Linked DNA regions of Anolis sagrei. The protein of the gene in region 1 interacts with the protein of each later gene in a biochemical or structural test. Links are inferred from orthologs where the notes say so. Each region holds a gene or a part of one and is shown in the gene's direction. Other genes may lie near its edges. The genes, in order: SORT1, SORCS1 and BDNF.

Region 1 (10,224 bases):
AAACGTCCCATGTTGGGCTAGGTACCACCTAACATATAGCAATGAGCTTATCCATTAGTGCCTTCTATTACCTGTAAGAATGGATCCACTGCGATTTAAGTTTGCATTAAATGTATAGTGTTCCTTTGAAACAAAAGCTCAGGGGAAGTAAATTGTAAAGCAAATGTGATCCTAGATTAAGCTGGTGTAATGCATTCTTCAGTGAGAATAGAGGTGTTTTAAATTTATAGGAAATGATATGAAGAGTTCTTTGAAAGCATAGAATGGTTTTTATTTCATCTAGACTTTGTTTAGTTTGTACAAAAAAAGGATCTCTAACATGTAAGACAAAGGCTTTTTATGTTCTCTTTTAAATACAGTTGGTAGTACCAGCTACCATGTGAGCAAACTAAAAAAACAAGACTTTGTTCCATTCTTATTTGAGCAGTAAAAGCAAGTCCTTCTTGATTGCTACAAACCAGCCAATTCCAAATGTTAAAAGCTGTATGTATTCATGTTGGTCTTTGAGTTATTAGAAAATTATACAAATCTTATCATATCTGTCATAGCATCAGAAAAAGTATATCTGTGTATCCCACTGTTCAAATCCAAACACTTTAAATAGCTAAAAAATAACTGTAGGGAAGATCTCTGATGGGTTCCTGCTTGTTTTCAAAACTCACAAATACATTATATTGTGCATCTTTTATTTTGAGGAAATGACATATGTCTGCAACAAGACATCATGAGGTCTTCCACATAGTGTACTGTAACTCATTCCACGCAATTGGCTGTGATGGCTGGAATGACAGAAATTGCAGTCCTAACAACCTCTGGAGTGTTGTATGATGCCCATCCTCCATAAGATAGTACATATTTTTCTTTGGTACTGATTTTTCTGAATCAGTTATAGCAGTGGTTCCCAACCTTTTTTTGACCAGGGACCACACTCCAGCATTAGTGCCAAAAGGGTTATGAAACAGGTTTTGGTCAACTTTAGATTTCGTTTGGGGGGCTGATTCAGAAAATTGCTTTGGATAAACCACATCAGCTCCAGTTTCCATGGTCAGCGACAGGGAAGGAGTAGCAGGCGGAGCAAGAAGAGTGGGAGAAAAATAAATAATGAGGAAGGAGGCTCACGGATCAGGTTTTTGTCCTCGTGGCCCATTGGTGGTCTGCCGCCCACACCTTAAGAACCACTGAGTTATAGGGTACATATTCCTGTTACTGAATTAGACATGAACTGGTATGCTGCCTTTGTTTGTACAGGTTCTGCATCAGCATGCTATTGTTTGCCTTCAAGTCATTTCTGAGTCATGGTGACCCTAAGGCTAACCTATCACAGGGGTTTTGTGGCTGAAAATATTCAGAGCTTTTCCCTTGCCTTTTGAGGCTGGGGAGTATGACCTGTCAACATCACCCAGTGAATTTCTATGGCAGATCAAATATTTGAACCCTGTTTCCCATTGTCCTAATCCAATACTCAGTCAACGATACCACTCTGGCTCTTAGTATGTGTTGTAATACAAACAGGCCACAAACTTCCTTGAGGGTTTTCTGTATCTAATCCCAAAAATGTGCAAAGCCAAAACAATTTATAATTCAAGGATTGTTTTTGGTTTCTCCCTACCCTAGAAAATTATTGTGAAATCACAAAGTTAAACTTTTAAATGAAGTTTGCAACTCCATGCTTCAACAATGCAAGCAGAGACAATATGAACTCTACATAAAATAATAATTTAAGATGGGTTATGTAATCCTGGTTAAATCTTTATAACATTTATTCTTCAATATAAGTGTATTTACTTAGCCTTCAAATAATTGCTACAATTAGTTGATAAAGGGTGTATACATTTCTGGAACACCCTGTATATATATAGTGGTCATAGCTGATGTTATGTAAACATCTCAGGGGAAAAATGTATACCAAATCGGATATGTATTAATGTTTTATTTTCTTATTTGTTCTAGTAAGAGCTGTCCCACCCTGTATTTATTGGCAATAATCACTAGGGAATGGTGGTTATCATTTCAAACTTGCCAGCTGCTGTTTCCTAATGGAGATTTAAATACAGTTGGTCTGTTGATAATTGTTATGTGGATAACCTGCACAAAATAATTACAAGTTCAAATTATGTTTTAAGATTAATGTCTGGATTTTGCATTAGCTGCAGCTAGAAACCAGCAAATTTCTTGAATATCCTGAATAACCCACAAAGTTTCAAAATGGTGGTATTTTGAAAAATAGCAGCTTCCTAAAAGCTGGCTCTTTGGAAGGATGTTATTATTCCAGAGTAATCTTAGCCAGCCTTTTTGTTTTAATCACATAATTATAGACTTTATAAATATAAAAGCTAAGAAACTGGTAATCAAAGTGGTGATCTTGCTTAGTTGCCTGTTGGTTTCCCCAGCCAACTTAAACACTTGGTCCTGATAAAGATTACACTCAGTGGCCCACAGGATTTTTATTGCTTATGGGGCAGTTTCCCAGAGATCAAGCTGTTCCTCAGCTAATTTCGGAAGGAGCCGTGTTGTCCCTTCTAGAATGTTTGCAAAGATTGCCAGAGATTATGGCAAGTTGTTTTCTTTCTTTTGGGAAGCTTGTTTCAGTTTATTCTGGTAATACTGTTTTCAGGAACAATTTAGAATTCTTTTTTCAAAAACAACAAACCTTTCTTCTATTAAAAATATTTTATCTATATCCTACTTTGTCAAGCTAGAAGATTATCTAATATGGTTAAAATACATCGAGGAATATAGTACTATAATAGTGGGGCTACTTCTGTCTCTTGAACAGGACTTTGGTTTGGGATTATATTAATTTGGTAATAGAAGTCTAATTCAACAAAAAGAAGCTTCCGGTGGCACAATGGGTTAAACCCTTGTGCCAGCAGGACTGAAAACTGACAGGTCGGAGGTTCGAATCTGGGGACAGCACGGATGAGCTCCCTCTGTCGGCTCCAGCTCTCCATGTGGGGACATGAGAGAAGCCTCCTACAAGGATAGTAAAACATCAAAATATCCAAGCGTTACCTGGGCAGCGTCCTTGCAGGCGGCCAATTCTCACACCAGAAGCGACTTGCAGTTTCTCAAGTCGCTCCTGACACGGGAAAAAAACATTCAACAAAATAGGAGGGTCCCAGGTTGAGGAAGCTTTCAGCAGTTTCTTGGGCTATTTTCTAATAATGATCTATCTTCAGTAGATAATTTTTGTCAATGTCACTGCAGTGTATATACATTATTTCAACATCTAATTTGTGTTGCATGCCATTATGTTTCCTTTTCCCCATCCCCAACAGTTTCATGTTGCAACCTTTTGGTTCAGTTTCCTGTTTGAACTTCAGTGCTTCCATTAGTGTTGCACCTAACATTGAGACACCCATAAAACCACTGCCAGTTTACTCAACTGGTTGCATTGCCTGTAGATTTCCATTTGTGTGCATTCTTTATTATTATTTTTAAATGGCCAGTTCAAATTGCTCAGTTCTTGGCCTTTTTAATTTTCCACCATCCAAGCCAAAAACCCTTCCACAATGGCATAAATATGTATGTATGTATGTATGTATGTATGTGTATATAGGGGCTTCCTTTCCTCTTTCTGACAGATGGCAATATTCCAACATGGCAGCATGCCCTTATTTGTAAAACAAAACCCCTTTTTACTATTCATGGAATAGATGAGGATCAAACTGGACATGTTCTTCAATAGGATTGATTATTGACTGTCTGCTATTTTATTTGTAAAAATTAAGGTGCAGGGCTGAACTAGTGGTTGGCTCAAGAAAAATATTTCCTACAATCCTGAATAAAGATAAGTTACCTAAGTAACTATATCAGAGAGACTGTGTTATACACACTGGAATTTGGACTGATACAGGCTGAGATCCTTTCACAACCATGAAATTTCCTGAGGGTGCATCTTATTAAACAATTAATGCAATTTGACATTATTTTGACTGTTGTGGCACAATACTATGGAATCCTGGGATTTGTTGTTTGGTGAGGCATTAACACTCTTGGATAGAGTAGGTTAAAGACCTTGTAAGTTGCAGCTCCTGATGATTCAATAAAATTATCCATCTTTGCTGTCTTATAGGAGACTCAGAGCAGCCATGGAAGTTAAATGTGGGGTTAAACTGCATTAACCCCAGGCGCACATACATTCCAACTTACTTTGCAGATTGGGATGGTGAAGTGGGAAGTGAGCCAAGAATTTTCACAATTTTGTAGGAAATGTGGCAGAAAATGATCATTTGATTTATCACAATTGTGCTGAGACCCTGTTTAATATAATCAGTTGTGCAGTTGATATAAAGGGAACAATTGTTAACCTTGTGAAACCCTTAGGGTGTCCCTACAGCAAGCTGATTCAACTGAAGAGAAAGGTTCAGAGATTTGACTGATAGCTTTGCTGTGTATCAATTTCTTCTCAAAATCATTTTTCCTTTGCCAGTGTATATTGACAAGTCTAACATTCAGAATACAACCTGAGTATTCCTTGTCTGAAACTGCAAATAGCTCCCAAACCTAAAATGGTCTACAAGGATGGCTGAGATAGTGATGGTTCAATATACACAAAAAAATGTCCATGCACAAAATAATACTGTATAAAACAATCATCAGGCTATGTGTACATTTTTCTTTTGTGTCAGGAGCGACTTGAGAACCTGCAAGTTGCTTCTGGTGTGTGAGAATTGGCTGTCAGCAAGGACGCTGCCCAGGTGACACCCAAATGTTTATACCATCCTATGGGAGGCTTCTCTCATGTCCCTGCATGAGAAGCAGGAGCTGACAGACTGGAGCTCACCCTCTTCCCTGGATTCAAACCGCCGATCTTTCGGTCAGCAATACTGCCTACACATGGGTTTAACCCATTGTGCCACTGGGGGCTCCGTATGTGTATATGAAGCACACAAATAATACAATCATCTGGCTATGTGTATGTCAAACACATGAATTGTGTGTCTAGACTTCAATCCATCTTCAGAGGTGCATCTACACTGTAGAATTAATGCAGTTTGACACCACTTCAACTGCTATGGCTTAATGCTATGGCAGACATGGTTCAAGATCTTGTAAAAGTATAACCCCTAAGAGTCCATCTCATTGAGCCATGGCAGTTAAGGTGATGTCAAACTGCATTAGATGTACGGTGTAGGTTCTCCTCTAGCCTCTCGTGGACTTCGTGTCCTTGCACTGCAGCCAATCAGGGCACGGCCTCGAGGATGTTTTAGGATTACTCCGAGGATCAGCAAAGGGACAACGCTGGTAGGCAATTAGCCAATGGGCAAGGTGCTCTTCAAAGTGGGGTGATGCTGCCCAGCTAGAGAATCTGACGGGGGGAGGCTCTTGCCGCGGGGAGCCAATCAACGACTGCAGTGCGGAAACGGACAAGGCGTTAACCCAATGAGAAAAAAGAAGCCGGGAGCGTTGGACGAATGGGGGAGAAGCTACCAAGAGAGGCAGGTTGTTGATCGAAGGTGGGTGAGATTGGCGTTTCCGGCAGCCAGTGACGTTGACATACCTGGTCGGCTTGGGCCAATGAGGGCGCGGGTGGGCGGGACGGGCCCGCCCCTGAAGCTTGAGGAGAGAGTTTCCTAGCGATTGTTGTTGTGAGCGGCGGCGGCGGAGATGGAGCGGGCGAGTTTGGCGCGGGTCGGGGTCTTGCTGCTGCTCTTGGCGGGGGCGCCGGCGCTGCTTGGCGGACGGGAGCTCCGGTTCGGGGAGGGGAGGCTGCGGGCCCGGCGGGGGGCCCAGGAGGGCCGGCCTGAGGCGGAATGCGGCCCGCGGGACGGAGGCTTCTCCTTGGAGGCGCTGAGCAACAACACCCACAAGGTGAGCGGGAGGCAAGGGTGGGGGAGACGGGCCTGAAGAGCATGAGACTTCGGTGCCTTCCGTTCTGTGGTGTCCTTCAAAGGGGCGTCTACACTTAAGAATTAACGCGGTTCGACACCGCTGCAGCTGCCCTGCCTCAAGGCTATGAAATCTAAGGAATTACTATTCACAGGGTCTTGGGTCTTCTCTGCCAGAGAGGCCACAAACCACAAATCCCAGGGTTTGCTTTGATACCGCTTTAAATGCCATGGCTCAAAGTTATGGCAGCCTGGGAATTGTAGTTTCACAAGGTCTTGAGCTTCCTTCGCGGTCTCTATATTTATTTATTTATTTACGACATTTATATGCCGTCCACCTCACCCCAAAGGGGACTCAGAGCGGCTTACAAGTTATATGTAAATACAATATATTATATTATTTACATAGCACCATATTAGTAACATGCATTCCCATATTGTACTATACCAGTATACTGTAATATTATTAGTAATATGACATGTAATATGAAATATATAATTATTATATTGTATTATTATTAGTATTATATTGTATTACATTATAATATTATCAACTATATTATAATATGCTAGCCGTCCCCTGCCACGCGTTGCTGTGGCCCAGTCTGGTGATCTGGAAAATAAAGTAATGGTTTCTAATATATGTAATTCCTTTATGCTTGAGGGTAAACAGTATTCCTTGTTGTTTCTATGTCGGTGTTGATGTGGAGAGTGTCTGGTTTGCCTACTCTGGAACATGCGACATAGAATTGTCCTTCTTTAGGGGTCCCTTTCAAATCTATAACACTATATCTCGCTCTGTGTGTGAATCATATCAATCTATCTATATCTATGTCTGGATGGCTCTTTGTCAGGACGACTTTGATTATATTTTCTTGCCCTCATGAAGGGAGTTGGATTGGATGGCCTTAAGTATTTTCTGTTGGTCATGGGGTTCTGTGTGGGAAGTTTGCCCCGATTCTGTCGTTCGTGGGGTTCAGAATGCTCTGATTGTAGGTGAACTGTGAATCCCAGTGACTACAACTCCCAAATGTCAAGGTCTACTTCCCCCAAACTCCACCTGTGTTCATATTTGGGCGTATTGAGTGCTCATGCCAAGTTTGGTCCAGATCGATCATTGTTTGAGTTCACAGTGCTCTCTGGATGTAGGTGAACAACAACTCCCAAACTCAAGGTCAATGCCCACCAAACCCTTCTAGTGTTGTCTGTTGGTCATGGGAGTTCTGGTGCCAAGTTTGGTTCAATTCCCTCGTTGATGGAGTTCAGAATGCTCTTTGATTGTAGGTGAACTATAAATCCCAGCAACTACAACTCCCAAATGACAAATTCATACTTTTTGAGTGATGGCCATTTCTTGTGTTGTGAGATGTTTTGTTGCCAAATTTGGTGTGATTTCGTCCATTGGTTCTTTTGTTTTTAAGGAACTCATTATGCACAGAGCATTTTTTATATATAGATTATTATATTATTGTACTACATTATAATATTATTGTATATAAATATATATGAACTATACATCCTAGGATTGAGTTGTATCAGTTCAATGTGGTGACAAACTGCATTAATTCAACAGTGTAGATCAGTTATAGGCAAACTTGGGCCCTCTGGGTGTTTTGGACTTCAACTCCCATCATTCCTAACAACCTCAGGTCCCTTCCTTAAGCGGCTGAGGGGGAAAAGGAACAGGCCTGAGGTTATTAGGAATGATGGGAGTTGAAGTCCAAAACACCCAGAAGGCCCAAGTTTGCCCATAACTGATATAGATGCACATTCAATTCAGCTTGAGAGTGACAAGGAAGATGCTGTCTCTGAGCATGTGCAGAATGCCTCTTAATAATCTCTCTGTCACTTCAAGTATGGCATAGGAGTTTCAGCAATCGTCTATGGGTGCACCTGCAGTGTTGAATGGATACAATCTGAAACCATTTCAACTGACATGGCTCAGTGCTATCAAATGATGGGAGTTGTAGTTTTACGACAGCTTGAGTCTTCACTGGCAAAGAGGGTTGATGTCTCACCAAAGTACAAACTCCCACAATTCCACGGCAGTTTAAGTGGCTTCAAGCTGTATTGAGCCATGGCATTAAAATCGGTTTTTAGTAGTGTTAAACCGCATTAATTAGACAGTGTGGATACACCCTACAATTCTAGAGATCTGGATTAGAATCCCCACTTGTTCATGGAAATCTTCTGGGGTGATTCTGGGTAAATCATCCACTCTCAGTCCCAGAAGCTTCCTTAAGGAACACAAAATACAACAAAAGATACACATTAGACATTCGGTAGGAGCTCCCTGTGGTGCAATGGGTTAAACCCTTGTGCTGGCAGAACTGCTGATTGACAGGTCTGCGGTTCGAATCCAAGGAGCGAGGTGAGCTCCCATTTGTCAGCTCCAGCTTCTCATGGGGGACATGAGAGAAGGCTCCCACAGGATGGTAGAACATCCAGGCACAATGGGTTAAACCCTTGTGCCGGCAGGACTGCTGACCGAAAGGTCTGCAGTTCGAATCCGGGGAGCAGGGTGAGCTACCGTCTGTCAGCTCCTGCTTCTCATGTGGGGACATGAGAGAAGCCTCCCACAGGATGGTAAAACATCCGAGCATCCCCTGGGCAATGTCCTTGCAGGTGGCCAATTCTCTCATGCCATAAGAAACTTGCAGTTTCTCAAGTTGCTCCTGGCACAAAAAAAGAAGATATTCAGTGCCTATTCCTCTTGAATCAGCTGACAGGTTTCCTAGGCCAGGTGACTTGCATTGCTCAGATAAGGTTTGAACCCAAGTGGCGCTCACTGCAAGAATTAAACATTGGTAATATGCGACACAAATAAGCATGTACGCTTTTGAGTGGACAGCCTGACGTACTTGTGAGGAAAGAATGGGGAAGAGCCACACCTTCAGAGCCAGGGAATATAATGACTTTGGAGCTAAGTCAAGACAGACTGACACTCTTTGGCACTTGAGTGCTATTCTTCCTAGGAAGCCAACAGGAATGTGCATTTAAATTGAGGGAATGGCAGAGTTCTCCAACCTAGTTAGCTTTTCAGCCATAGGGTGCACCAACACTGTACAAGTAATGCAGATTGACACCACCTTAACTGAGGAGCCCCCGGTGGCGCAGTGGGTTAAACCCCTGTGCCGGCAGGACTGAAGACCGACAGGTCGCAGGTTTGAATCCGGGGAGAGGCGGATGAGCTCCCTCTATCAGCTCCAGCTCCTCATGCGGGGACATGAGAGAAGCCTCCCACAAGGATGATAAAGACATCAAATCATCCAGGTGTCCCCTGGGCAACGTCCTTGCAGACGGCCAATTCTCTCACATCAGAAGCGACTTGCTCCTGACACGACAAAATACAAACAAACAAACAAACAAAAACACCTTAACTGCCATGACTCAGTATTATGGAATCCTAGGAGCTCTAGTTTTACAATGTCTTCGTCTTTGTCTGCCAAAGAAACTCACCTAACAACTCCCAGGATTCCATAACATTGAACCAAGGCAGTTAAAGTGATGTGAAATTGTATTGCTTCTGCAGTGTATATGCACCCTCAGAGCTGGTTAGAAGCATTTAAAAATGCAAAAGATCTCAGTGTGTGACATCTAGTTCACCCTGAAAAGATTTTCTTTATCCATTCTGAGGATTACTGGCACTTAGAGGGATATGAACTGGTTTTGAGCTTACCACTGTCTTCATTAGCCTGTGTTTTGTGTTAAAAGCCGATGGGCACTATTGGCTTTCATGTGAATGGCTTATCCTAAAGTAGCGAGACTCTGGAATTCGTTGGATGTGACTGGCAAGTGAGGAAGCCAGCTGCTACAGGATAGGTGTGCACAAATCTAAATTTTGGTTGCTCAGGTTACCTAGCTTTTCTGAGTGTTCAACTCCCATTGTGTTTTACAGCCAGTGTTTGTTGGACATGTTGGCAAAACATGTCTTGTCCAGTGAGCATGGATTGTGAAGGCCATTCTATAGGAAATACCTTCAGACTAGTTTCGCTTGATTGTCAGCATTTAGTGACAAGGCAGGGGAGTTCACCTGAATCCACCCAGCATGCAAGTGATCTACAATTTTAGAGTGCTATATTTCTATAGAGCTGCTGAAAATTGATTTAGGGATGGCATAATAAACACTTTTGAATTGCAAGTGGTGTTCATAATGTTGCTTCCTGAATGTTGCTGTTCTTGTTGTGTGCTTCCAGGTTATTTGGCGACCTTGAGGCTGAGAGTGTGTGACATGCTCAGGGTCAGCCAGTGGGTTCCCATGGCTGAGTGGGGATTGAAACCCTGGTCCCCAGTGTCTTAAAGTGCATTTACCCTGTAGAATTAATGTAGTTTGACACACTGTTTAATTGCCATGGCTCAATGCTGTAGGACCCTGAGTTTGATGTGTTCTAGG
Region 2 (10,297 bases), on another chromosome or scaffold:
GTGCTATGGAATGACTTGATTGCTTTTTTAAAAAGTCTTAACTCTCCCACCCCCACCCCAATTTTTTTTTTCTAGCTATGACCCTGGACACAAGGATACTTTTTTGGTCTTATTTATATGTTTATTTTGTTATTGTGTGCCTCCAAGTCATTTTTGCCTTATAATGACCCTAAAATGAATCTATCACAGCATCTTCTGGGGCCGGGAGTGTGTGATTTGGCATTGGTCACCAATGAATTTGCTGAACAGGGAACTGAACTCTGGTCTCCAGAGTCATAGTCTAACATACTTAAACTTGTAGAGTCTTGTAAGACCTTAAAATGCTCTCAATTGCAGTGGTTTATGGTAGACTTGTGCAATTTGCCCAAAAGGTATGCCATTTTGGGGTCCATTTTTGGCTAGCCCCTCATTCTATTTACCAGGAAGTTACTCGAATTGGGAGGAGTGTTGCCATTTTCATTCAGGAAATATTTGACCCATTGGCTACAATGGGAAACTTTAAAGGCTCAATTCTCTGTCATTTTAAGTCCTATCTGCATGAAAACTACCTTAGTTTTAGACCCCATTTACAACTGCAGGCATGCTAAGTTTCAGAACAATTCACCGATCTACTGATTTTTAGAATTATTTTAAGTTTTCACCATAACATTTTTAAAATAAAACAAACCACAAGAGACGGTTCTGGGAATTGTAGTCGCTGGTTGTGTCCATTTTCAGCCAATCAGATTATGGACACAACCAGGCCTTTTATTGGCTGAGAAACAGAAAGAAAGAAAAACTTCAACTCTCAACATGCTTCCAAAGGAAATCAGAGACTTTTCAATGCCACCCCATGCAAGTGCTGCTGGGAAAGCGGGTTCCAAGCAGGGCTCTCTCTGGAGAAGGAGGCTAGGGAACTTTTCCACTGGTGAGGAAAGAGAAAAGACACTGCATGATCTTCTCCGTGAGCCCCGCAGCAGACCCCCTGCCTCAGGTATAATGCAGACTTATCTACATCCTCTCCAGTACCCAATAAATCCGGCTCTCTTGATCCATTTTGCCCAGCTTTTCGGTTATCTCTTGCCTGTTTTTGTGGGATTACACAAAATGAACCGCCGAATATTATAAATCACTTTCAATCGAACTGATCCGGGCCCAAGCCTAGTCTATAGTGCTCCAAAGTGTGAGATCTTTTCCTCTGCTCATCAGTTACTTTTGCTATTCAAGACAGAGGGAGATTTCACTTGCCCTTTTCTTCAAAATCAGGTATGATTCCTGGCCGATGCCTAGTAGGGTTGTGCATTCAGGGTAAACCTTGACCCATTTCATGTTCCGGCTTTCAGTAGGGTCCTGATCCATTTTTGGTAGCCTCCCAAAATCAAAAGGGCAGATATCTGTTTTTGCTCTGGAGTCCCAAAAAATCCTTTTTTTATTGGACCAGTATTGGGGGGGAGGGGGGGGGGCTTCCTATTTAGGCTCCTTTCCCAGCACATGCTTTAAGGACGCTTTTTCTTACCTGGTGTTTCTACTCTATAGGAGGCCCTCAACTGCAGGCATTGCCCAGCACAAGCTTTCTGAGCCTTCACACTCTCTCTTTCCAAGGCAAGGAGGCAAGTTCTTTTTCTTACTCTAGAAGAGGCACTTGGCTGTAGGCACTAACAGGCATGAATGCTTTCTGGGGCTGCACTCCACAGACACACTCTCTTTCCAAGTCAAGGAGGCAAGCTCAGGGAGGCGCTTAGCTGCAAGCATGATCACTCTATCTCCTGGGCTATACCGCACCAGTCAACCACACACTTTCCAAGGCATTTTAAGGAGGCTTCCCACTTCCAGGTAAGTAAGAACAATGACCTCCTGGAAGAGGAGAGTAGTTTTCAGGGAATGATGGTTTTCTTTTAGTTTGCTGGCGGATTGATAAAAAAAAAAAGATTAAACTGTGATGCCAAAAAGCAAGCCAGGAACCAAAACCCTTTCCTGCTTACTTTTGTGTTGTGCTGATTTTTGTACTGGGAGGGGCTTTCCCATTATGTGCTCCCAAAGTACTAAAAGAAACAAAGGAAAAAGGAGATACGAATTCCACAGACAAGTCTAATGTCTGAATGATGATTATGTGTGCATCCTTACATTCTTTCATTCTCTTCTGAATTTTCTGGTATTCACTGCAAACCTGACATTTTGCCCACATTAATGGCAGGCATCCTCAGAGGTTCTGAAGTTTGTTGGAAACAAGGCAAGTGGGGTTTATATATCTGTGAAATGTCCAGGGTGGGAGAAAGAACTCTTTTCTGCTTGAGGCAAGTGTGAATGCTGCAACTGATCCCCTTGATTAGCATTGAAAAGACTTGCAGCTTCAAGGCTTGACTGCATCCTGCCTGGGGGAATCCTTTGTTGGGAGGTGATTAGCTGGTCTTGATTGCTTCTTACTCAAACACAAATCAATGAACATGAAAGGCACTGCAGACTAATTCAACCAGAGAAGTCAGCCATGGCAGAGCACCTGATGAACCAACCTGGACACAGCATATTATTTGAAAACATAGAAATGATGGACCACTCTAACAACTACCGTGGAAGACTACACAGAGAAACCACAAGCACATGGACAATTTCAACAGAAAGGGAAAAACCTTGAAAATGAACAAAATCTGGCTACTAGTATTACGAAAAACTCTAAAATTAGGACAGTAAATAAAGAACAACACTCAAAAATCAGGGGAATTCCAAACAAGAATTGATCAGAGCCAGCAAATACATCTCAACAAAGAATCCCCCAGGCAGCAACCAGCCAGGCTCTGAAGCTGTAAATGCTAACCAAGGAGGCAACATTCACACTTGCCTCATGCAGACAAGAGTTCTTTCTCCCACCCTGTACATTCTGCAGATATATAAACCCCAATTGCCTATTTCCCAACTGACCTTACAGCCTCTGAGGATGCCTACCATAGATGCGGGCAAAATGTCAGGAGAAAATGCTTCTAGAACATGGCCATATAGCCCGTAAACTCACAGCAACCCAACTTGGGGAGAACTAGAAGGGAATTCCCATTGGGGAGACTTGCAGAGAGAGAGAGCTCGGGTGCCTGGCAGAGAAAGCAGAAAGCTCCACTGATCAGACAATGATGTGTGCAATGCATTTGCTTGTTGAAAAACACAGTTTGTGTCTCTTTCCAATTTTAAACTGGTGCCATTGAGATGGGCAAACTTGGGTCTTCCAGGTGTTTAGGACTTCAACTCCCACCATTCCCAACAGCTTCAGCCCCGTCCTTTTCCCCCTCAGCCGCAAACAGCTCTCCTGAAGAAGTGATGCGGCATCTCCATAATGCTCGGAGCTTCCGGACCCAGCTCTCATACTATTATCAGTGGGAGTTGAAGCCCAAACTGACCCATGCATGAGCTATCTCAACCTACTAATTAGCATAAGTATTCTGATTGGCCAGCCTCAAACTTCTAACATTCTTAAGCGGCTAAGCATGAAAAGGAAGGGGCCTGAGGCTGTTAGAAATGGTTGGAGAGTTATAGTATGATAGCTGGGTCCAGAAGCTCAAGTGTTAGGGAGATGCCACAAAGATGGCTGTGAATAAGGGAAGAGAGGGGGCGGAGTGAGAGCTTGGAGATGGAAGGAAGGATAGGACGAAGGGGATGTTTAGGGTAAGGGTTAGGGCAAGATTTAGGGTTTGGGTTAGCATAAGGGTTAGGGTAAGGTTTAGGGTTTGGGTTACGGTAAGGATTTGGGTAAGGGGTTAGGCTTAGGCTTATGGTATGCTTCAGGGTTAGGGTAAGGGTTTCATCATTAAAAAACTCTTACATTCCTATCTGTCTCCGGCCTGGCTTACATTAGCTAAGTCTCTCTTGCACAAACAGTGCTCCCGAAGAAGCGATGCAGCATCTCTATAATGCTCGGAGCTTCCGGGCCCAGCTATCATGCTATTACTGTTGGGAGTTGGAGTCCAAAACACCTGGAGGGCCCAAGTTGGCCCATGCATGAGCTATCTCCACCTACTAATTTGCATATAGAATCATAGAATCATAGAGTTAGAAGAGACTTCATGGGCCATCCAGTCCAACCCCCCACCAAGAAGCAGGAAAATCGCATTCAAAGCACCCCCGACATATAGCTATCCAGCCTCTGTTTAAAAGCTTCCAAAGAAGGAGTCTCCACCACACTCTGGGGCAGAGAGTCCCACTGCTGAACAGCTCTCACAGTCAGGAAGTTCTTCCTCATGTTCAGGTGGAATCTCCTTTCTTGTAGTTTGAAGCCATTGTTCTGCATCCTAGTCTCCAGGGCTGGAGAAAACAAGCTTGCTCCCTCCTCCCTATGACTTCCCCTCACATATTTATACATGGCTATCATGTCTCCTCTCAGTCTTCTCTTCTTCAGGCTAAACATGCCCAGCTCTTTAAGCTGTTCCTCATAGGACTTGTTCACCAGACCCTTGATCATTTTAGACGCCCTCCTCTGGACACATTCCAGCTTGTCAATATCTCTCTTCAATTGTGGTGCCCAGAATTGGACACAGTATTCCAGGTGTGGTCTAACCAAGGCAGAATAGAGGGGTAGCATTACTTCCCTAGATCTAGACACTATGCTCCTATTGATGCAGGCCAAAATCCCATTGGCGTTTGCATCACATTGTTGGCTTATGTTTAAATTGTTGTCCACGGGGACTCCAAGGTTTTTGATTAGCCACCCTCAACCTTCTAACATTTTTAAGCGGCTGAGATAGGAAAGGAAAGGACTTGAGACTGTTAGGAATGGTGGGAGTTGAAGCCCAAAACACCTGGACGGCACAAGTTGGCCAATGCCTGCTATAGACACAAGTTAATACAGACATACAGACAAACGGGTTCCCATCCCCCATCTTTATTTTCCCCTGCATGAAACTTCGAGTGCGATATACAACCCGCTTTTCTCAAACCTAGAGGAACCAGATGTGGTTTACAGATGTGGTTGTAAACCTGTCCTGAGTCGCGCTGGGGAGGTAAACGCACCCCAAAGAGACGGAGGCCGGCGGATCCTGATGGGAGATGGAGAGAAGGAGAAAGTTGGCGAGATGGAGGAGGAGGAGGGGAGGGGAGAGAAGGAGGGAGGGAGCGAGGGAAAAAGGAGGGAAGGAAGGGAGGAAGGAAGGGGACGCCGCGTCGGCGCTCTAACACCCAAACGACGAGAAAATCCCAGAGAGGAGGAGGAGAAGCGATTGGCGAAAGGGAAACCGGGTTGGGGAGGGCGGGAGAGAAACGAGGAGGGAGAAAGAGGCGGGTTATGACTACTCTCCCTCCCTCTCTCTCCCTTTCTCTCTCTTTTGGACTTCTCCAAAAGCAGCGCCCAGAAACCGCCAAGCAGGGCTGGCTGGCGCGCGCATCCTCTCTCATCTCTCTCTCTCTCCTTTTTCTCTTTTTCTCCATTCTCTCTCTCTTTCGCGCTGCTCCAGCTCCTCCCTCGTGTGGTTGTGGCTTTTCTTCATCCCTTTTCCCCATCAAAAAGCCCGATCTTTTGGAGGGAAAAAACGGGGGGAAAGAAATCCGAAAGGAAGCGAAGAAAGCTCTCGGGAGGGGGAAAAAAAACTTCTTTGGAGTTATCGCTGCCTCGTGCCTCTCCCCGTTGGGTCCACAAGAGAAACATCTATCTCTGCTGTTCTCCCATAGCCTTGCTCTGTCTTTCTTCTCTTTTTTGACACATACACAAGTCTTTCAACGGCGTCGAGGGCGATGGGAAAAGTTGCGGGCTGGACGTGGCTGGTGCTGATGCTCCCGTTTGGCTTCATCGGGGCGGAGATCACTTGCCAGGCTTGCCAAGGGCAAGGGCAACACCGGCTCCAGCCAGGATTATTGCTGCGCTTGAGGGCGAGGAACCCAGAGGAGGTCAAGGAGGGCGCCTCGGGTCGGCTCTTCTTGGCCGCTTTGGGGAAGAAGCCTCTCTCCTTGGAAGGCGGGCAGCCGGACCCTCTTTCTGCTCTCCCCCGCGGACCCGGGACCTCCGCTTCCGCCTCCCTCTCGTCTCCGCTCGGCCTCCCGCTCCCCAATCAGGCGGCGCGGAGGCGGAGGCGGCAAAGCCGGAAAGCCCGAGACGCCCAGCCGCCGGAGAGCCGCCCGGAGCCCGCCACCCGCTTCCGACCCGAGGAGCTCAAGCTGACCAGCACCACCTTCGCCCTCACCGGAGACTCGGCCCACAACCAAGCCATGGTCCACTGGTCCGGACACAACAGCAGCGTGAGTAGTTGCCCTCCGCGCCCCCGGCCCGCCCCTCGCTCCTGCTGCGTCTACACCCTGGAATGAATGCGCTTCGACACCACTTTCGGACTAGGGAATCGCGGGAGTTTGTCACAAGGTCTTCTCCGCCAAAGAGGAGGGCTCCTTCGACTACAAATCCCAGGATGCCCCAGCATTGAAAGTCGTGTCCAAGCTGCATTCATTCCACAGTGTCGAGGCACTCCCCGCCTTCCAGTCCCTGCTGCTGCTGCTGCTTCATCCCAAAGACCCAGGCAGCAAAGGATGCGCTTGGAATCCCCCCCTCTGCTGCCCCCTTCTCTCTACTCTAGTGGTTCCTAACCTTTTTTTGGACAGGGACTACTCTGACCAGGGCTACTTGACTAGGGACCACTTTGACCAGTTACCACTTGAGCAGGGATCACTTTGATCAGGGACTACTTGGACCAGGGACCACTTGGACCAGGGACCACTTTGACCAGGGACCACTTTGATTAGGGTACACTTTGACCAGGGACCACTTTGACCTGATACCACTTTGACTAGGGACCACTTGACCAGTGACCACTTCATTAAGGAGCACTTTGACCAGGGAACACCTGATTAGGGACTACTTTGACCAGGGACCAATTTGACCAGGGCCACTTGACCAGGGACCACTTTGACCAGATACCACTTTGACCAGGGACCACTTTGACCAGATACCACTTTGACCAGATATCACTTTGACCAGGGACCACTTCGACCAGATACCACTTTGACCAGATACCATTTTGACCAGTGACCCTCTCCCACATTAGTACCCAAAGGGTTACGAATTACTTTTTGGTCAACTTTAGATTTGGTTTGGTTATTTGGGGTGCTGATTCAGAAAAGGACAGTGGATAGACCATATAAGTTCTAGTTTCTGATGCAGAACATATGCCATCCAGTAGTTGCCATCTGCTCACCCACAGAAAACCATATTTAATAAGCCTCGGCACTATAAGAGGGTTTCAAGAGACCAGTTGCTCTTGTTCCAATGGTGTAGTAACGGTGAGGCCACGGACCATATTTTACTTCTTACTGACCACTGGTAGTCCACAGACCACAGGTTGGAAGCCACTGTTCTATTCAGAGTTTTGTCCACTCTTTGGTTGTAGTATCAATGCAGTTTGACACTACTTTAACTGTCATGGTTCAATGCTAAGCTATCCAAGGTTTTGTAGTTTGGCAGAGGTACCTAAACACCTTGTAAAACTACAACTCATGACTCCCTAGCATTGAGCCATGGCAGTTTAAAAAGTCATGTGAAACAGATTCATTCTACGGTGCACCCACAGTTCATTGACACCATGGGGATTGGTAGATGCCATGTCAATGTCGTTCTGGCTGCTTGAGCATTTACTATTAAAAATATGCCAGTCATAAACATTGTATTGACTTGATATTTTAAGAAAATTAAGACAAATACAGACACACTTGACATTAATGCAACATTTTCGCTAAAATTGTTTTTATTTTACTGGGTTGCTATGAGTTTTCTGGGCTGTATGGCCATGTTTCAGAAGCATTTTCTCCTGACGTTTCACCCACATCTATGGCAGGCATCCTCAGAGGTTGTGAGGTCTGTTGGAAACAAGGCAAGTGAGGTTTATATGTCTGTAGAATGTCCAGGGTGGGAGAAAGAAGTCTTGTTTGCTTGAGGCAAGTGTGAATGTTGCAATTGTTATGTCTTTATTGAAAGTATTATTTCTGCTGGTTTGCCGATTGCTTGAGAGTTCCAGTTCCTTGAATTCCAGTTAACAGAGAGTCTACTGTACATCTATTTTAAATCAACTATTTTCTGTGTCTTGTGTTGACATCCTCTCTGGAGCAGAAAGTTTCCTGCTCCACTTGGCATGCTACTAGGTGCATTTGAAGACATCCATGCCCTGGATTTTTTAAAAAGAATGAACCCTAATCTCTGTGTGCAATGAATGGAAAAGGGTTTTCTGAGCTGACTGGAAGAAAAAAGGTGTTCACTTCTGTGGAAGGGTGTGTGTGTGTTGTTTGAAAGCTGAAAAGGGTCAGCTATTTCAGCCCTGAGATGCTCCTTGTTGTGACAAGTGGCACGAGTGTGGCAAAGTGATAAAGATGAATGGTGGCAGCAGGAAAGCATGGACAGGAGTGCTATAAACTCTGTGTGAGGCAACTGGGGAGCCCTGTCTTCATCTGCTGCATGTCTATTTTCTGCCTCTTCTGATAGCATGCATCCTGGTTTTGCCCTTTCTTTCCACCCACAAACAAGTTGTTTCCCCCCACATTTCCCTCTTTTATTGTATAAATGGCACATTGTTTTGGAAAATTTATAAAGCTGTGCTTCCCCAACTGGGACGCCGGAATAGAAAAGTGTATCTCAGTTTGTATTCTGTCAGTAGTCTATGGTCCCCTAGCTTTAATTTAATAGTTCATGTCGCAGGCAATGAAGATTCGGTTTTGATCAAAGGGACGCCACTTGTACAATCTCCCTCAAGCTTGTCCCTAACTCTTTTCACTTTTCCCCAAGCACATTAAAAAGCTCAGGTTTGCAACCGAAGATTGGTTCACAATGTACCATTTGTTCCCTTGAGGCAGTTCAAGTGTCCGTTTATATAAAAATGAAGCTAAACTTGCGGGAAGAGGATGCCCGTTCACCTGTTGTTCTTGGGTTTATCCCTGTGGTGTTAAAATGAGTCAGTTTCTCTCATCTGTATCTCCAGTAACCCGGCTCCTTTTCATCCTGAATGTCTTCTATTTTTTCAAAGGTAATTCTGCTTTCACGACGTCTCTTATGACACTCTGCTGCAGATTTCATTCTGATAAACTGAGCCACTTTCTTTCACAGCAGTGTTGGTATAAACTGGACTTCAGTTTTTAGAGAATCAGGACAATACAGACTGAGACTCTGAATAATGCAGATCCCTGGGAGCTGCTTCTTAGTGAACAGGGAAAGTGAGCCAAAGGAATATAAGAGGGAACAACAACAACAAAAAGGATTTTTTTAAATGAAGCAGTCAGTTCTTCACAATAGCACATTTAAAGTATCATTCTCCCTCATGTCCATGGTGCTGCTACTTTTAGCTATGCCTCTAGTGGGTTTTTAATTGGCAGGGGGGAAATGAATGGAATGATCTGACCATTATCCCTTCCTTTTTAAAAATATGTGAATATAAATCTCATTGCACGCATTCTGTGTTCATGTCAGCATTTCTCCAGGAGCCAGACTTCATTGACTAGACTGTAATTTATAGACTTTTCAGGAACTTTTAAATCAACTCAAGTAAGCAATCAAAACAACAACAACATGCTCTTGCAAGTCTTTGGGTCATTTTATCTGTTTTCTTTTTTGCCTTCTGGATCTCTGATATAGTTAAAATTATAGAATCATAGAGTTGGAAGAGGCCTTGTGGGCCATCCAGTCTAACCCCCACCAAGAAGCAGGAAAATCATACTCAAAGCACACCTGACAGATGGCCGTCCAGCCTCTATTTAAAAGCCTCCAAAGAAGGAGCCTCCACCACACTCCGGAGCAAAGAGTTCCACTGCTGAACAGCTCTCACAGTGTCTTTAAAAATGAATTGTACACTTTGAATTGTTGATGTTTAAAACTGATTGAAAAGTTGGTCGCTGCTTCAGCCTGACTTACAACTTCACAACATATTTAAAAGCCTCCACTGGGTAGTCTCGGGTTATGAAGCAGAGGAGTCAAGATCACAATTTTTCAATTAAGCCAAAACAAATCATCACTCTACTGTGAATTACAAAATGCTACAGTCTCCATTTGCCTTTATTTCAGTGTTTGTTTTGAAGTGACTATCGAAAAGTTCTTCAGGTATTAATTCATGACCTTTTCAGCTTGCTTGTATCTGAACATTTTACCACACAATTGATATAAAACATTTCTGATGTGTTTCCACAATATAGAAGATACTCATGTTGAATGGATGCAGCTTTTTTGCTTTAAATGTGTAAAATCTCATTATCATCATCATCATCATCATCATCATCATCACAACAGGATGAGTCCACAGCAGACAAAATCACTCTGCTGGCTGTTGTATTGGATCACACGTTGGACACTTTTCAAGTGTCTAGGACTGTGTGATATATCGGC
Region 3 (10,780 bases), on another chromosome or scaffold:
AGAGTATCAACCTGGTATGCTGGTTCAGGTGCTGCAGAGACAGGGGTCCAAATGCCAATGCCACCATCAGGTTTATTGGATGACTTGGGCCAGCCCCTCACTCTCTCTGTCTAATCCACCTCAGAGACAAAACTGAGGAGGAGGGCCACATATACGTCCCTCTGAACATTTGGAAAGAAAACCAAGATATACAGTAATATATCTCAAGAGGTTTCCATTCATAAGATCACTAAATCAAATGCCACCCTTGGACATTACTATCAATGTCCAAGTTTACTTCTGGTTTTGGAAAATAGCTTTTTAAAGAGAAAAAGTATTAGACATTACATAGAGAGGGATTACATTCTCTATAAACTTTCTTGTCCTTCCTTCTGAAAGTTTCCAGAAGACAAAAAGTCACCCTTGGAAGGGTGAGCAAGGAATGGTTTGGGAAGTCTGGAGAATGATGGGTTGCAAGGAGAACATGGCAGGAGATACATCCAGCCCCAGATCTCCCCCAACTCCCCCACTGTCTTTGGGGTTTGGGTTCTATGATTTCCAAGTATTAGTCCTTCCAGATGTTTTGGATCTCAAATTCCAAGCCATTTGTCCATGCTGACTGGGACTTCTGGAAACTGAAGTCCAACAGCCTCTCAAAGGCCAAAGCTTCAGTACCACCACACCTATAGATGGCTTTTCCCTCATGAATTCACTAAGCATATTCTAATCTCAATAACTGGCTTGAGCATCAACTTCAGGAGGCTGCAACCCACTTCCACAGAGGCACTTAAAGATGGCACCTGCTCTCCTCTCCCTCCTGCTTTGACATGGAAACTTGCCTGGTGACAATCCAAATGGCCTTTTCCTTCTATGGGCGTCCACTCTCACCTTGGGTTTTGCAAGGTGGTTGTTGTTGAAAGTTTTCTACTTATTCCAATCTAACGACATCCCTAGGGAAATTGTCTTGAAATAAGATTTGCTGATTTCAGTGGGACTTACCTCCAACAATCTACAAGACCAACTGAAAACATGAGACATTTGATGTGGGCCTTCAATCTGATTCTGAGGTATGGAGCCCATATCATAGGCTTTCCTTAGCAAACCTTACTCCATAACAGTTTGCCACCTTCCTAAGACTGAGAGAAAGTGACTTGCCTAAGACCACCCAGTGGGTTTCTAAGGCTGAGCAGTCAGTTAAACCTTGTTCCCCTAGAGTCCTGGTCCAACATGTAAACGACCATACCAGGCTAAAGAGACAATATATTCAGGGGATTTTTCCTTCAAATCAACTCCAGTGTCCAGTTTTCAGGAGCATTTCCCCCTACCTGGAACTTAGTGCAAAACGTATTTCATGGGGCTGTCTTTGGTAAGGGATACTCTTAGACCAGTGGTTCTTAACCTGTGGGTCACAGACCACAAGTGGGCCGCGAAGCTGAAAATCTGGTCTGCAAGCCTCCTTCCTCTTTATTATATTTTATTTTATTCCGCTCCTTTTGCACCGCCTGCCACTCCTCCCCTGTTGCTGACCATGGCATAGGTTCTGAATCAGAAACTAGAGCTGATGTGGTCTATCCAATACTATTTTCTGAATCAGGACCCCAAACCGAATGTAAAGTTGACAAAAACTGATTTGTAACCCTTTTGGTACTAATGTTGGAGAGTAGTCCCTGGTCAAGCAGTCCCTGGTCAAAGTGGCCCCTGGTCAAGTGGTCCCTGGTCAAAAAAAAGTTGGGAACCACTGTCTTAGTCTTAGATTATATACAGCCTACAGCGTGGGATATTCATTGCCAGTGTCCCATCCAAGTATTAAGCAGGACTGGCCCTGCTTGGGTTCCAAGCTCAGGCATGATCTGTTACCTTTAAGGCTGGCCCCGAAGTCCTTTTCGCCCTCTTCTCCCCCTCCACACACACACACACACACACTTCCTCAAGATCCTAAGGGTGACAGCGCTTGGAGGATGGCTTCATGGGCTCTGAACTGCTTGTGAGTGGAGAGGGTCCCTTCCTGGGACCCCGGCTCAAGGCTTTCCTCTGGCTTGTCCCCTCGAGAGCTGACCCCTCCCCCCCCCTCTCTCCCGCTCAAGCCCTTGCCAAGAGAGCCTTTGAATCTGGCTCCAACTCTGCAAATCCCCCGAGTCCCAAGCCTTCTCCTCTCTCTTTGGGCTGGCGCCGCCAATCCGTCGAGGGGAAGAGCCGGAGATGTGGGGGAAGCCAAACCCGCGTCGTTGTGGGCGTCCCAACTGGCTTTCCCTCCCTGGTGCCAGGTTGGCTCCAGAAGCATGTCTTTACTTCCATCCCATGAAGGGAGCCGCCCACCCACAACTTCGGGCAAACTTTTCCTCCAGTGGGAGCCTCTGGACTCTTCTTCCAGTCTCTTACAAAAGACTAAAACGAATCTCCGGTGCGCCTCCTCCTTCCAGTACTGCTTCTGTTCTGCTATTGCAGGTGCAATGCATGTCTCTTTGGAAAAGTCTGCCCCTGACTCATCCCGTCGGTGGGGCAGTCAAACTCGCCCACCCACTCGCCCACCCACTTTCCCAGCCTTTCCCCTTCTCGCACTGCTATTCTGCAAGCCGGTGGCGGAATGGTCCCCCTGGGAGGAGAGCGGTCACCCGAGGAGGAAAGGGCTCAGGGTCGAAGCCCAGGGAAACCCAGGCAGGTCGGGGAAACGAGCACCAGCCCGGGGCTCCTGAGCCTGCGCGGAGCTGGAGCTCTCCAAGGTGCTCCAAAGCGGGCCTCACAGCGGCGAGGGAAGGCAGCGAGGCCTCGGCCAGGGAGGACGGGACCCCGGGTTGGGGGAAGCGGGTGGCTGGAGAGAGGCCGAGGGACTGTGGAGCGCAGCCCCAAGCGGGGTGGAAGGAAGCGAGTGTCTCTGGGCAGATAGGAAACTCTGGCGCCGGTTGGAGGCCCGAATGGTGACGACACACCCCGCAGGGCAGGGAGGCGCATGGTGGGAGTTTGTTGTCCCGCTGCCGAAGTTGGGAGCTAGCTTCGAACTGCATTAAGCAGCCGGTGCAGATGGGGTTGGAGATGGCGCGCTGTGTTCCCTGGAGAGCAAGTCTAACGGAACACCTCAGGGGTCCCTTCCAAGGGAGAAACATAAAAGGGGGGGGGGGGAATAAGGAGGCTCGCTTCTCAGCCTTTAAGAGGCTGCCTTGGGAGTCAGGAGCATCACTGGACCCCATAGTCTCCCCTTCCACTCACACAGACGCACACCCAAGGCACGTTTCACCACGCCAGAGAGAGAGAGAGAGAGATCCCCACCAGCCCAGGTGTGCCAACCTACCTGCGCCCGGGGCCCCTCCAGCCTGGAGACGCTAAACTTAGGCGCCCAGAGAGTGAGGCTGGAAGGGAGCGGGAAGGGCCCTTTATAGGCTCTCCCTGCCCCGCCGAGAGACGCAAGTAGGCGCGCCAGCAGCCCACACCCAGACTCCCACTGCCCCTCCGTGAATCAGCCCTGCCTGGGCTTCGGGCAGGTGAATGTAAACACACACACACAGAGAGAGAGAGAGAGAGAGAGAGCCCGGTGGAGGCAGCACCTGTCCCTGGGCCAGTGCGCCAGGGGCCTCCATTCCCCATCTGCCTCGCCTGGCCGCCCGGCTGGCGCTGCTCTCCTTTTGAGCCCTGCCACCTGCGGAGCTGCGCCTGGGACGCAACAAGTCCCCGGAGTGTCTGGAGGGAGAGGGAGAGGGAGAGGGAGGCGAGAGAGAAGGGAAGAGAGAGTGAATGAGAGATGGGGGGTGAGGGTGTGGGACCAGGAGAGGGGCTGCTTCCTGAGTCCTTTCCCGGCCCTGCCACGAAAGACTCATGTCAAGGCTTCCGGGGACAGAACGAGAGGCACACAAAGTGAGCTGGAGAAGTTTGTAGCCCACTCCTCACGTGCGGCTCCCGAGAGGGTAGAGAGAGAAAGGGAGAGAGGAAAGGGCATACATCCCCCCTTCTCCCCCCCCCCCTCTTGTTCTGGTTGGGTCTCGTGGCTCAGCCTTTCCCCCCCTTCATTAAGATCACGTAAGAAGAAGCTACCCAAAGGGGAGAAACGTGCCTGTGAGCTCAGGCGTTTGCGTAAATCGAGGGCCGGCGGCGGTGTGTGGGGCGCGTGTGCCCGTGGGGCGTGTGTGAGTGTGTGTGATACAGGGAGCGAGTGTGTGTCTATATGTGTGAGTGAGTGCGAAGGCAAGCTCTCCCCGCCAGCCAGCCAGCCAGCCAGCCAGCTAGCCAGCAGCCTCCTGCCCGCCGCTGGCTGCCTTCCTTCCTTCCTCCCTGCCACCCTGCCTTCCTTCCTTCCTTCCTTCCTGCCTTGCCTGCCTTGCCTTGCCTTGCCTTGCCTGGCTTTGCCTTCCTGTAAGTCACCCAGGTGGCGGTGTGTGGCGAGTTTGGCGGCTCGGCGGATATTGCACAGGGTGGTTATTAGATTCATAAGTCACACCAAGTGGTGGGCGATCCACGGAGCCGAGCGGAGAGAGAACTTCTCACATGATGACTTCAAACGAGACACATTACCTCCCAGCATCTGGAGGAGAGACGGGATTGTAAAGGCGCTTCGGGGCTCCAGGACGGCCGGGGAAAAAAACAAAAAAAAACAATCAAAAAAGAACCCGAAACCATGGTGAGTGAGTGGGACTCCGGAGGGGAGGCTTTGGTGCGGGGAGGGGGAGGGAGGGAGGGAGGGGGGAGCGCCCCGGGGCGTGCTTCCCCCCAATTTGTGCTTGGAAAGAAAGAGACAGGGAGAGCTTCTCTCCAAAGCGGGAAGAAAGAAGGCTGTTGCTTGACAACAATTTACTTCGCCGCTCCTTCCCTTCCCCTCCGAAACCTTCCCCTGCCTCTCCTCCCCGCCCCCGCCCCCCCCCCGCGCCAAAAAAGAAGCCCGGCTTTCTGGAGCGCCTCCGTTTGGCCACGCAGAGCCCCAGCAAGCCTCGGGCGTCCCGGGAAGGAGGGCGGCGCGGTGCGTCTGCCCAACTTGAAGGAAGGGCCGAGCTTTGCGGGGATTTCGAGCTACGCAGAAGAAACTTGGAGCCCGGGTTTCCTTCCTCCGAAAGGAGCTGCTGCTTGGCTCTTGTTTTACTTTGTGGGACCCCCCTCCCCCTTTCTCCCAAAACACACACCGCTTGGCTTTGGATGGAGGGCATGGGGGGATGTGTTGGGAAAGAGGGTCAGAGCGATGGGGCGAGAAAGGAAGCGAAAGGGGGTATTCCTCTCCTCTGCCCCCACCCCCTCCCCAAATCCCCAGGTCCGTCCAACATGTGATCTTCTATTTACAGCCCGTGCAAAAGCCGGGCTCACGTGACTCAGGAAAGAGGGGAGGGGGCTTCAGGCCGCACCAAGTGACTTCATGGAAATGTCAACGCCAGACCTTCCCCCTCTTCTCCCCTCCTCCTCCCGCTTTTCCCAAGGAGAAAAGAAAGAGGGGGGCGGGTGGGGGCTGGGGAAGGAGTGGGGCTGGCCTCGGAGGGAGGCGATGGGGTTTGTCAGCCCAGGTAATCCGGAGTGAATCCCTCAGCGCTTAAAAGGCGGCCAGCCTGGACCTCCCTCCTCACACTGTGATAAGATCTGGCGAGGAGGGAAGCGACGGAGAGAGAGAGAGAGAAGAAGAAGAAGAAGGGAGAGGGAGAGGAAGGGAGAGGGAGAGCTCCCTCCTTGCTTCAGAGTTGCTCCTACGTCCCGGTTGTGGCGGACCTGGGCAGGAACCGCCTCCAACCCGGAGCGGCGGCGGCGGAGAGCGGGACAGACCCGCGCCAGAGCCGAGTTTGCGGGGGCGCCTGGGCACCGACGGCGCGGGCCACTCTGGGCGATGCGAGCGCCTCTGCCCGGCGCCATCTAGCCAGTGGCGGGGGGCTCGCGGGGACCGAGGTAAGGCTCCCCCTCCCTCTCCCACGCGGGGCTTTTCCCCTCCCCCTTCTCCTTCCTCTCCCTCCCTCCCTCCCTCCCCTCCTTCCCTGCCCCAGTCTCTGGTTGTTATTATTATGGGGGGACCGTGGGCTGCTCTCGGCCGGGTCTGTGTCCTCTCTCTGGCGGAGCAGAGGAAAAGAGGAGCCAAGGTAGGCGCCAGCGAGGCCCCTCACTCCCTTCCCTCTCCGGAGTTGGCCAGAACTCCGTCCAGCCCCCAGTGAATTGGTTGTGTTTGTGTGCTTTTGGGGGGAAAGGAGGGAGGAAGCGCGCAGTTCCTGGAGGGATGAATGAATGAATGAATGAATGAATGGAGAGAGGGAGGGAGGGATCACTCACTACATCACCAGCGAGCGATAAGCAGAGAGAGGCATCCCAGCAACGGAGAATACAGTCTATTTGGGGCAGGGGAGCTGCCTGCACGCACTTGGAGGGGGAAAACTCCCTTTTTGCTCCAAGCCTTGGCCTTCGCCTGCGTAGCCTCCCTCCCACCGGGGCCCCCTTTTCTTTTCTTTTCTTTTCTTTTCTTTCCTTTCCTTTCCTTTCCTTTCCTTTCCTTTCCTTTCCTTTCCTTTCCTTTCCTTTCCTTTCCTTTCCTTAGACTTTCCTCTGCGGGGAAACGGGAGGCTGGGGAAAGCTCTCTCCGACGGGAACTCCATCCTGCGCTCATTCAGTCCTCCGGCTCCTCCCCTCCCTCGTTCCCTCTTGCGATGCTCCTTCCTACGTAGACACGGAGCTAAGAATATTGAGTCGCTGGGCTAAAAATAAGCCGGGGAAAGTCAGCAGTTTGGAGCCGTAGGGAGAGGCAGAAAGAGAGGGAGAGAGCTCCGCTTAGTGGGCGCTGCTGCTACGGGGCGGAGAGGCAGGCGGGCGGGCAGGCGCATGGCTTTCTCCTCCCCAAAAGGACGCCTTCCCTTCCCCATCAGCAGCCAGAGCCGGGGGTGAAGCCTGGCCCCGGGTCTGGGCGCCCATCTGGACAGAGGGGCCCCGAGGAGAGGAGGCGGAGGGAGGATCTGGACCGGGGAGCGAACCAGAGACGCAGTCGAGCCTCTTCAAGCAGGGAGGGAGGAAGGGAGGGAGGCAGGGAGGGAAGGAAGGAGGGAGGGAGGAGGCTTCTCTCTTTCTCCCTCCTGTCGCCAATGGACCTCCTTCGCCCAAATGAGAGAAAGAGAGAAGGGCAGGAGGTGTCACAAACCCAGGAGGCTTGTGACGGGGCTGGAGAGGGACTGGAAAGAAATGGGGAGAGCCCCCTGTCGCCCCCAGGTCCAGAGAGGCGCCGGCAGGGACCTCCTCGCTCTTTCTTGCCCCAGAGGGAGACAGAAAGAGGGAAAGAGAGGAAGGAAGAGCAAGCGCTGCCTCTGGAAGGGAGAAAGAAAGAAAGAAAGAAAGAGAGGCCAGTGGCCAAGCCGGTGCTTTGTTTCTAGTCGCCGTGGCCCGGCTTAGGCGAGCGGATAAGCTGGGTGGCTTGACTGCTCCTTCCTTCCTTATCCACATTCTTCTTCCTTCCATCCGAGCATCCTTCCATACTCCCTCTCCTTCCTTCCTTCCTTCCTTCCTTCCTTCCTTCCTTCCTTCCTTCCTTCCTTCCTTCCTCCCCCTCCCTCCCTCCCTCCCTCCTTCCCTCCTTCCTTCCTTCCTTCCTTCCTTCCTTCCTTCCTCCTTCGCCTGCCTGCCTTGCCCGGCTTGCAGTCCCTCCTCCTCCTCCTCCTCCTCCCGCCTCGCTGCCTTGGCCGTTCATTGGGCCTCCTCCTCCTCCGCTGCCGCGATTGCGCTCACGTAGCCGCGCAGGGCAGGAAGACGACGAAGGCGACGACGGAGGGAGAATCCCTAGCGAGCACGAGCAAGCGCGCGGGGCGGGTTTGGAGGAAGGAAGGAAGGAAGCAAGGAAGGAAGGCAGGAAGGCGGGAGCCGTCGAGGCAGCCGGGGATTTCGCAGCAGGGTGTGGTTCGCCCAGGAGGGAGGCTGGCTCCAGCGGGACCCCAGGCCGAGGAGCGCACCGTAGACCCGGCAAGCCCCCCAATCCCCGCCCCTGCGCCCTGGCTTTCGCGCGCTCTTTTCTTGGGCTCCCAGCCAGGAGGGGCCTCCTTCGGAAGCGAGGGCGCAGGGGCGGGAGGAGGAGCCCCGGGCCCGGCTTCGGGGAGGAGGAGGAGGAGGAGGAGGAGGAGGAAGGCACGGGAAAAGGGCTGTTGGAGCGGGCGCCACTCCCCAGACCGTGCTGCGAAGGAAGGGATTCCGAGGTGGCGGCTCCCCACTCGCTGCCTTTCAATGCGGAGCGGGGAAAGGCCCGGTGGAAAACGGGGGGGGGGGGGGGGGGGGGGCAGAAGAGGCATTAAAGGCGCCGCGCGGGTTTTTCTCGCCCTCTTGTTTTTCTTCCTTCCTCTCTGCTGCGGGCCAGGAAAGGAAGAAAAGGAAATGTTGGGTTGTTGTACGTTTTTTGGCCTTAATGACCATGTTCTAGAGGCATTCTCTCCTGACGTTTCGCCTGTATCTATGGCAAGCATCCTCAGAGGTTGTGAGGTCTTCTTCTCCTGGCCGGCAGCAGAGAGGAGGGAAAGAATGCAAAAGGGCCTCACAACTTCCGAGGAAGCTTGCCATAGATGCAGGCGAAACGTCAGGAGAGAATGCCTCTAGAACACGGCCATATAGCCCGAAAAAACCTACAACAACCCAGTGATTCCAGCCATGAAAGCCTTCGACAATACAAAGGAAATGTTTTGTGTTCCTCACCATTGCTGTGCTTGGAGGGAGGGAGGGCAAGGGGCCATCAAGGCTCTTGGTCTTGCAAAGGCCGGCCTCTGGGGCGAAGGGTCCCTTGAAAGCCCTCAGGCGGCATCCCTTGGGTGGGCTTCGCAACGGAGCCCATGGCCCAAGTGAGATCGTGTCGTATTCAGAGCCTGAAACCGTGGAGTTTCTTCCTAGTTGTGCTTCTGCGGGAAATGTCCTCAGGGGCAAGTCAGAGAAGGGTTTCATAACCCAAATGGTACATCATAGGTATGGGCAAACTTGGGCCCTCGCTCCAGGTGTTTTGGACTTCAACTCCCACCATTCCTAACAGCCTCAGCCCCCTTCCTTTTCCCCCTCAGCCACTTAAGCGAAGGAAGGGAAGAAAAGGAAGGGGCCTGAGGCTGTGAGGAATGGTGGGAGTTGAAGTCCAAAACACCTGGAGCGAGGGCCCAAGTTTGCCCATGCCAGCGATATAGTTTCCCCTCCATCACCCTAAATCCCTGTTGGTGAAGCCAGGCTAAATGCGGAGCAAGTGCAGACCTACCTGTTGAGCTTCCATCCTTTTTGGTCCCGAATTCTCCTGCATATCTGTCTGTTGGGCTGTAATTTGGCAAATGTGAAGGTAGAGTTGCAGACATATGCCCCAGTCATTTGGCTTTTGGGTTAGGCGTTTCCGAACTTAGTTCCTGAACTTGTAGGTCCTGGGGAATCTAGGAGAAAAGCCCTCTACCTCCCCCCACCCACCCAAATCCTTGTCATTAATTTTTAGACGTCTGTATAAAGGGGTTATAATGCATGAAGTACTTTGCACATGCGCAGGGACTCTTGCCTGTTGATGCCTTTGCATGATGCAGCACAAGTCTTAAAACCCAAGGGCTGCTGAACCAAAAGTCTTGGGCTGGAAGCCTTTACCAGGAGAACTAAAGGGACAAGGTGTAAACTCAGACCAGGGTACTTTCAAACCCAGCTTATTTTCCCAGGTGAAGCTCCCACACAGGTACAACTATCAATACTGGGTGTATGCACAACTTAAACCAGTTTCAGGTTAGTTCCACAATTTGATACAACCTGACTTTTCAAAATATATGTAATTCTTAAATCAAAACCCTTAAATGTAATATTGTTTAGCGCCAGGATAAGTCTTAATCTGACCTTGCCTAAAATTGCCTAAAATTGCCACATATAGAGTCATAGAGTTGGAAGAGACCCAGTCCAACCCCTGCCATGCAGGGACATATGACCAAAACACCCCTGGCAGCTTTTGATCCAGTGAACAATTCCATAAATGTGTGTGTAGGATAAATATATGCTAATCCCATTATATCCATACACATGTTTAGAGACTGGGTATTATCACCCCATCCTTCCAATCCCCTATCTTCTCTTTTTTGATAGCCATATATAAATATATGAAGGCATGGCATGTAGAATATGGAGAAAGCTTGCTATCTGTTGTTGAATGGGTTGAAATGACAAACAAGTGATTCCACTGAATCATTAGGAGGAACTTTTGGACTGAAAGAGCTGTTCAGTGGTGCTGCGAACTCTCTTCTGCTTTGGTCAGACCTCACCTGGGATCCTGAGTCAAGTCCTGGACATTACAGTTCAGGAGGGATATTAACAAGGTGAAAAAAGTGCCCGGAGGAAGGCCATCAGGATGATCAAGGGTCTAGAAACCAAACTCTGAGGAATGGTGTAGAAAGACAAGAATGTTTAGTTCGGAGAAGCATAGACAGAGAGTGACATAAAGACTCCCTTCATGTGAAAAATGGGGCAAAATTGTTTTCTGCTGCTCCAGAAACTAGAATGGATATTAAAATTTTAAAAAGAGATTCTTCCTAAATGCCAGAAGTAACTTTTTAATGTAAAGCATATTTAGCAGTGGAAAAAACAGCCTGTGGTAAGGTGGTGGTGGTGGAGAACTCTCCTTTAAACAGAGCTTGGAGGGGCATCCTCCCTTTCCGCAAGGATTGGGATTGGATGAGCCTTGTAGTTCCTTCTAGTTCTGTGATTCTAAAAAGCAAAGTAAACTAAACCACTGCATGTTTTTGCTGGGTGCTGGAGTAAGTTCTGCCCTTGTAGTAAAACTTGATTCCCATTCCCATTCTATATTTTCCCCCTCTCTCTTGCATTCTGTTTAATTGAAAATCACTATCCACTATCCTTGCATTTAAAGCAAGGATAAAGATTGTGT

What was found.
Region 2: the proteins of SORT1 (region 1) and SORCS1 form a complex in vitro, tested with the Homo sapiens proteins (2 studies listed by BioGRID and IntAct, with this or other methods). The link is inferred for Anolis sagrei from reciprocal best matches to the Homo sapiens genes SORT1 and SORCS1.
Region 3: the proteins of SORT1 (region 1) and BDNF form a complex in vitro, tested with the Homo sapiens proteins (2 studies listed by BioGRID and IntAct, with this or other methods). The link is inferred for Anolis sagrei from reciprocal best matches to the Homo sapiens genes SORT1 and BDNF.

The regions. Positions count from the first base shown.
Region 1 is NC_090024.1:184,772,913-184,783,136, forward strand, and holds the start of SORT1 (sortilin), read left to right. Parts: upstream 1-5,539; 5' UTR 5,540-5,610; coding exon 5,611-5,814; intron 5,815-10,224.
Region 2 is NC_090023.1:210,963,260-210,973,556, forward strand, and holds the start of SORCS1 (VPS10 domain-containing receptor SorCS1), read left to right. Parts: upstream 1-5,099; 5' UTR 5,100-5,685; coding exon 5,686-6,186; intron 6,187-10,297.
Region 3 is NC_090021.1:260,645,667-260,656,446, forward strand, and holds the start of BDNF (brain-derived neurotrophic factor), read left to right. Parts: upstream 1-5,939; coding exon 5,940-6,014; intron 6,015-10,780. UniProt on the Homo sapiens protein: Important signaling molecule that activates signaling cascades downstream of NTRK2. During development, promotes the survival and differentiation of selected neuronal populations of the peripheral and central nervous systems.